Sus scrofa: one gene and its partner. The protein of the gene in region 1 purifies or fractionates together with the protein of each later gene. This does not show direct contact. Links are inferred from orthologs where the notes say so. Each region holds a gene or a part of one and is shown in the gene's direction. Other genes may lie near its edges. The genes, in order: CASP9 and DCC.

Region 1 (3,819 bases):
GTCGGGGCTCAGGAAGCGCACTGGCTCCAATATCGACTGTGAGAGGATGCAGCGGCGCTTCCACTTGCTGCATTTCGTGGTGGACGTGAAGTGCAACCTGACTGCCAAGGTGCGGTTCCCTGTCTGTGGAGAGAGCTGGAGGGCGGGCGGTGCCCTGTGAGGACGATGAAAGCACGCAGCTCCCCAAGACAAGCCGTCTGGTCTGCAGGGCCACGGGAGGTGGCGCGGCTCAGTGGCTACCTGTGCAAATGTCAGACTCAGAGAGCAGAGTTGGGAAGCAGCTGTCCCATCTCCCGTGTGATGCCTGGGCCTGGGCTTCCCTGTTGAGACAGCAAGGGCAGCGCTCACCTCCTGGGTTCGTTGTAGGAGTAGATAAGGAGCGCCCGGTGCAGCCTCTCCTCCCAAGGGTGGTAGCTGTTGAGATTGCTGTAATTACTTCATTATGGAGCCTGGGAGCAGGGGCGGGCAGGCCTAGGGTGGGGACCTGACCCGTCAGTGTTCTTGTAGCAAATGGTCCAGGCTTTGGTGGAGCTGGCGCGGCGGGACCACGGCGCTCTGGACTGCTGCGTGGTGGTCGTGCTCTCTCACGGCTGTCAGGTAGGAGGCTGCGCGGAGAGGTCATGCGGGAGTCTGACCCTTCCTGTGTCCAAGACACCCTGGCCTTTGTGGGAAGAGCCGTAGGGCCCTATCCATCTCCCATCATTTCCTTGGGAACCAGTTGGCCCTCTGAAGAGCTGGGTGCTCCTCCTGGGTGGGGTGGTGTCCTGGGAGGAGCTGTCTGGGAGAGCCAGTTTCTGCTCATAAGCTCCTACCCCAGGGCTTTGTTCAGAGCCAGGCACAGCTTGTAAGCGCTCCCGGTTCCTGCTTTCCTGCTCGGCCCTGCCGGGCACTGTTCGGGGCCCTTTGCCGCTGGCTGGGAGTCAGGGCCCTGGAACTCACCCTGGCTTTGGCTGCTAAGGTGCGGGGTCATTGTGGCCAAGCCCCTCCCCCTTCCCATGCCTCAGTTTCCTCATCTTTCTAGTTGAAGGATGGGACAGAGCAGACGTAACAAGCTGGCACCTGGAGCCCCCCCCCCCCCTTGTGCTGCATAGTGTTTTCAAAACTGGCAACTTTAGCACAAGAATCAGGATTTCCATCTTCCTTTGAGAAGCTGTAAAGGTCTGACCTTATCAGGCCAGCATCCTCATGGAGTAAAGAAAGCTCCAGCCTGTGGCTGGGCTGCCCCTTTGGTCCTTCCATCCACAGTGTGGCCCTTAGACTGGCAGCACATGTCACCTGGGGGCTCATGGGGATACAGACTCTTAGAGCCTGTACCTTAATGAGAGGCCACGCACGGAGAGTTTGAGAAGAACTGGGTCTGGACTGGTAGTTCTCAGTGTTGTGCTGCAGCAGAGGTGCCTGAAGGACCAGATTGCTCATCCTCAGAATCAGAGGGTTTCTGATTTAGGAGGTCTGGGTGGGGCCTGGGAATTTGCATGTCTTTAAGTTCCCCAGTGATGCTGTTGGTCCAGGGACCACGCTTGGAGGACCCCTGATCTAGAGGGAGCTGGCCAGCACTCTCCAGTCAGGCGGGCTGGTGCCTCTAGTCATGTGGGTTTGAGCACCCTGGAAGAGAGTGCCCGGGGCCGCCCAGCACCAACCTGCTTTGTCTAACTCAGCCTTGTTCCCTGGCTAGGACCTTTTAAATGCTTGGCTCCCACAGAGCCTCTGTTTGAACAGGCTGTTGGGTTCCTACTCTCACTTCTTGGGTTGGTAACCAGGATTCTTGGTCTTCTAGGCCAGCCACCTCCAGTTCCCAGGGGCTGTTTATGGCACAGATGGATGTCCTGTGTCCGTGGAGAAAATTGTGAACATCTTCAACGGAACCAGCTGCCCCAGCCTGGGAGGGAAGCCCAAGCTCTTCTTCATCCAGGCCTGCGGCGGGGGTAAGCGGGTCCTCGGCCTCCCTGCCCCGGTGTCTCGTGGGGAAGGAGCCGCCACCTGCTTCCTTCTCCATCACGCCTCACAGTGTCCCAGGGGTTGATCCAGGCAGGTCCTGGACATGGTCACTGCTGCCCAAAGGGGGCACCTTTCTGTCCTGCCTTTGAGTTTCATGTCTTCCGTCTCATGGCACAGTAGCATCAGGGGATCATTCAGCTTTGGCCACTTCAACCCCAGAGACTTGGCAAAAGCAAACAAAGCAGAGGAGAGAGAAAATGTCTTTCACTTTCCTTATTATTTTCCCAGTCTCCATCAACCACTGTCCCAGAGAAAGGGATTAACTATAGGAATTACCTAAAGGAATTCCCAAGGGCTCAGGTACTGAGGATTCAGTAACTTTTTTTTTTTTTTGTCTTTTGTATTTTGGGGGCCATACCCGTGGCATATGGAAGTTGCCAGGCTAGGGGTTGAATCGGAACTGCCTACACCACTGGCCTACACCACAGCCACAGCAACATGGGATCCAAGCTGCGTCTGTGACCTACACCACAGCTCATGGCAAAACCAGATCCTTAAACCACTGAGCGAGGCCAGGGATCGAACCCGCATCGTTGTGGATACTAGTCAGGTTCATTAACCACTAAGCCACAATGGGAACTCCAGGATTCAGTAACTTTTAAACATTATTTAGATTATTTATAGTTTTGCTGTATGTCCTGATTTTATTTCTTTTTTATTTTATTTTTATTTTTTATTTATTTTTTTGGGATGCTGCATACAAAATTTCCCAGGGTAGGGATTGAACCTGGGCCATAGCAGTGAACCAAGCTGCAGCAGTGACAATGCTGGATCCTTTATTTTTTAAGTTTTTTTTAATTTAAAATTTTATTTATTTATTTATTTTTGTCTTTTTGCTTTTTTCTGGGGCCACTCCCACGGCATATGGAGGTTCCCAGGCTAGGGGTCTAATTGGAGCTGTAGCTGCTGGCCTATGCCAGAGCCACAGCAATGCGGGATCCGAGCCTCGTCTGTGACCTACACCACAGCTCACGGCAACGCCTGATCCTTAACCCACTGAGCGAGGCCGGGGATCGAACCCACAACCTCATGGTTCCTAGTTGGAATCGTTAACCACTGAGCCATGACGGGAACTCCATTTTTTTTATTAGAATTTTTTTTTTTTTTTTTTTGCTTTTCAGGGCCGCATCTGTGGCACATGGAGGTTCCCAGGCTAGGAGTCTAACTGGAGCTACAGCCACTGGCCTACACCACAGCCACTGCGAACCAGATCTGAGCCACATCTGCGACCTACACCATAGCTCATGGCAATGCTGGATCCTTAACCCACTGAGTGAGGCCAGGGATCGAACCCAAAACCTCATGGTTACTAGTCAAATTCGTTTCTGCTGTGCCATGACAGGAACTCCCTGGATTCTTTAAGTGCTAGGCCATCAGGGAACTCTTATATATCCTGATTTTAAACCAAAGCCCTATTTTCACCTTAGTTTTCTTATAAAATAAAAAAAAAGAGGAGGGACAAGAAAAGTACATTGTATGTCCTGCCTTATGGGACATGATGGCAGAGGTGGGGAAAACTGGGAATTCTGTCCCAGGGACAGTGTATCCCTTGTGCCTTGGTCTGGTCTGCCAGAGAAGCGGGCATTGTTATACCACAGAGCTGTCCTGCTTGCCCAGGAGGGGGCCGTGCATGCCAACGACCTGTAACACGGGCACCGTGGCATTTTCTCCTCCACACATTTATCTGTCCCGTACTATTCCATGGTGGCAGGGATGGGGTTGGGGGCTGTCGAGGAGGCCAGGCTCTGGTCATATGATCCATCCAATAAGTGTATTGGCCACCTGCTGTATATACCAGGCTGTGTGTTAGGTCCTAGTGAT
Region 2 (3,819 bases), on another chromosome or scaffold:
ATTTCCTTTAATGAACAAGTTTCTTCTTGATGAACTGTAGTAATAGTTATGAGAGAAAATAAAGTAAAATTGAAAATTAAATCCTAAAATTAATTTAAAGGACCCGATTGGGCAAGATTTTAAGATGATAACTAAATAACGACAATGATGTGGTAAATTACCCATAACTGTGCTGCCTATTTAAATTATAAGTAGGACTATGATCTACAAGTATTCTAATTACATTTTCTCTTTTCTTTCTGCAGTTATTAGCAGTACACAGGCAAAACCATGCTGGAAAAGTGACAATTTTCCCATACTGAGAATTTAGATTCAGATCCCCACTCTTCTGCCATTACCCTAGTCATTTATACTCCTTGACTAGTTTCCTCAACTGTAAAAATGAAATAAGTAATTTAGATTAATGTAAATCCTCTTCTGAATTTTAAAATGAATGATCCTAAAACTTCATTACTTTCTATGCATATTCTATGTTTTGACGTGCTTATTCCATACAGTTCTAAAAGTAGCACATGCTGCTATAATTTCCTTGAACTGTAAAAGATATTCTGTTTGTTTTGAGAAAGAGAACCTTCTTGGACTAATCAATTTCTCTTGTAAACAGTGCAAGTTCCAGGACCAGTAGAGAACCTGCAAGCTGTATCTACCTCACCTACCTCAATTCTTATTACCTGGGAACCCCCTGCCTATGCAAATGGTCCCGTCCAAGGTTACAGATTGTTCTGCACTGAAGTGTCCACGGGGAAGGAACAGGTAGGCAAGATAATGGGCCCCACTCCTGCCACCTATTTGACGATGCTATGACTGGAGAAATTGTGAGATCTACATGCTCTTGATATAGTCCTGTATCCAGCACTTTAAGTGGATGGCTGATCAGTTTTAAAGCACTCGTCATTTAAACTGTTAAGCAATTGAATTGAATGCTGGTGGTAAGAGAGGCAAATGGGCAGTGACATGAAGTCAACATAAAGGATGCTGATTTTGTTTGAGCATCTAGTGGTCTGAGCCAGTGTAAGCACCTTTGAATGAGCCCATCTGGTGCCAGAAAATATTTGATTTTCAGTCCTTATCCTAAGGGATGATCAACCCTGTATTCAATGACCTCAATCAAATTGCTTTTTTCATTCTTCTTTTCATCCATATGTTTGATATTATTTCTACCTTCTCCTCACCGTGGGCCTGTCACCAGTCGCTTCTCATTGTTTGCAGTATACCTTATTCCAGAAGACTACCTTTTTCTTTCTTCAATTTTGCCTCTAATCTGTGGTGAACACATATATTTGAAAACAGGAAAATTATATTTTCAGATTAAGTTACAATACATGGGTCTTTAGGGAGACACATGAAACTTGGCCATTCTATTTTGTGATTTACATATTACTATGGAGATGTTTACTTTCAGATTCTTAGCTTCATGTAGAAAAAGATACACAGATAAGTGTATAAATAAGAAAGACCCGGATGTGACCCTAGGAGAGTGAAATTCTTACAATATGTTGTGAAGTTTGCCAAGCATATGTTTCCACATAAACTGCACGATAGATATTTTTCATTAAAAAAAATTCTATTCAGAAATTTTTTCCCTCATGATAATTACCAAGAACTTCTCCTATGTATTCATTTACTCCAATTGTTTTTTTATTTACTGTTCCCATACTCCTATTTAGCTATTTTCACTGTTCTAGTCTATCCTTTTTTCTACATATTTTAGTTCTCTAATAATGAATTGCACAAATCCATTTAATTAATTATTTAATTTATGGCCACACCTGGAAGTTCCTAGACTAGGGGTTGATTTAGAGCTGCAGCTGCCACAGAAATGCTGAATCTGAGCCACATCTGCAGCCTATGCAGATGCAGCTTGCTCTCTATGCTGGATCCTTAACCCACTAAGCATAGCCAAGGATCGAACCCACATCCTCAGGGGCGCTATGTTGGATTCTTAACCTACTCAGCCACACCAGGAACTCCCAAATCCATTCAAATAAATTTTAAAAATTAGTGTTACCCTGGATAGATATTACGTGTGAGAATCATCATGGAGAGCTAAATAATGGCTCTTCTAGAGTGAACTGGCACTGATTTTTCAGTGGCCTTCACCTCCAGGAACTCATTTCCATAGCTGTGAAGTGCTGACAGCATTTCCAACTTCAGCTCAAAGCATTGTGAGAGATAGCCATGGTAGCAAAGTATCTGTCAGTTTCAAGCATCCTGGGTATATTTCAGCGAGAGGAGGAAGAAATCTATTGTTTCTTGTAAATTATTCCATTCAGGGTAAAGGAGCAGCTCTCTGTTCCCATGGATTTACAAGCTGCCACCTTCTTGTCGGGGTTTTGGTGTGGGTGTTAACACCACACAGCCTTCAATGTATTGGGTGATGTTGAACAAATTGGAGCTTAATGACTGTAAAAATAGCACAGTGCTATTTTAACTAGGAGTCTACAGAGTGGTTTTGGTTTTAGTGGGGGAGTGTGGATCACAATTTCGGTTTTACAACTCATAATAAGACTAGAGGGTAGTTTTGTGAGTAAGAGTCTCATATCCAATTCACTGATTGCACAGAATGGCTGCCATTTCTGCTTTAATGTGCCTCCTGAATAACACTTTTGGTGTTTTATGTCTCCAGAACATAGAGGTTGATGGACTCTCTTATAAACTGGAAGGCTTGAAAAAATTCACGGAATACAGTCTTCGATTCCTGGCTTATAATCGCTATGGGCCTGGAGTCTCCACTGAAGATATAACAGTGGTTACACTTTCTGATGGTAAGTTATAAACGGTGAAATTTGACTCACCTTTTTGTTATAATAGTGAAGTAATACTGTATGTATGCCATAAATTCCATGGTCAGAATTTTCTAAGTAAAACTATGAAATATACTAGCCTAAACTAGAAATTTTGCTAATTCATTCAAACTATCTAGTACCGTCAAATTTAAACTTTGAAAAGATATACATTCTGAGTCAGGATGTTCTAATTAGTCATTCTCAAAGTGTGATTACTGATTAAGAGCTCAAGATAATTTTTTGTGTGTTTTGTTATTCCTATGAATACAAACACCTTTGTGCAGGTGTGGGGACTCATTTACATTAGTATCTTTTTGTTCTCCTTCTAACTGATGGTAGGTGATTAGAAGTGTAAATGATGGACAGTTCTCCAACATATACCTCTTTTTTTTGGGGGGGGTGAACCTGGGGCATATGGAAGTTCCCAGGCTAGGGATCTAAGCAGAGCTGCAGCTGTCGGCCTATGCCATAGCCACAGCAACACGCGATCTGAGCTGCATCTGTGACCTCCATCACAGCTCAAGCTGGATCCTTAACCCACTGAGCAAGGCCATGGATCAGACCTGCATCTTCATGGATACTTGTCGGGTTCTTAACCCACTGAGCCACAAGGAGAACTCTCTCCTAGATATACCTCTTAATTTGAAAATAAGTCTTGAAAATTTAGGCCAAATAATCCAGCATTGAAAGTATTGAAACTGAATATGTTTGAAAATTTATACTTTTAGTTGTACCTTGCCTAACAAAGGAAAGATTAGACTTATTTTTTTAAATGCCATGAAAAAGAGGAAGAGATCATACGGAAGAGGATGAATTTGACAAAGCAGTATCAGAGAAAACTAGAGATCTAAGAAATGAATGAAAATGAAATATTGGGAAGTTTAATGAAAAGTGAAAATAAAAGCACAGCAAAGCATAAGATATGGGGCCAGTGACAATTCAGGCAGGTGCAAAAATGTAGAGATGTGACCTCTATGAATATTAACAAGGCAGCAAGCTATTTCCTTTCAGCAACAGTTTCCATGTTGGTGTG

What was found.
Region 2: the proteins of CASP9 (region 1) and DCC purify together in Homo sapiens (co-immunoprecipitation; 3 studies listed by BioGRID and IntAct, with this or other methods). This does not show direct contact. The link is inferred for Sus scrofa from reciprocal best matches to the Homo sapiens genes CASP9 and DCC.

The regions. Positions count from the first base shown.
Region 1 is NC_010448.4:74,716,410-74,720,228, reverse strand, and holds part of CASP9 (caspase-9), read left to right. Parts: coding exon 1-109; intron 110-507; coding exon 508-597; intron 598-1,777; coding exon 1,778-1,925; intron 1,926-3,819. UniProt on the Homo sapiens protein: Involved in the activation cascade of caspases responsible for apoptosis execution. Binding of caspase-9 to Apaf-1 leads to activation of the protease which then cleaves and activates effector caspases caspase-3 (CASP3) or caspase-7 (CASP7).
Region 2 is NC_010443.5:102,714,877-102,718,695, forward strand, and holds part of DCC (netrin receptor DCC), read left to right. Parts: intron 1-604; coding exon 605-753; intron 754-2,626; coding exon 2,627-2,765; intron 2,766-3,819. UniProt on the Homo sapiens protein: Receptor for netrin required for axon guidance. Mediates axon attraction of neuronal growth cones in the developing nervous system upon ligand binding. Its association with UNC5 proteins may trigger signaling for axon repulsion.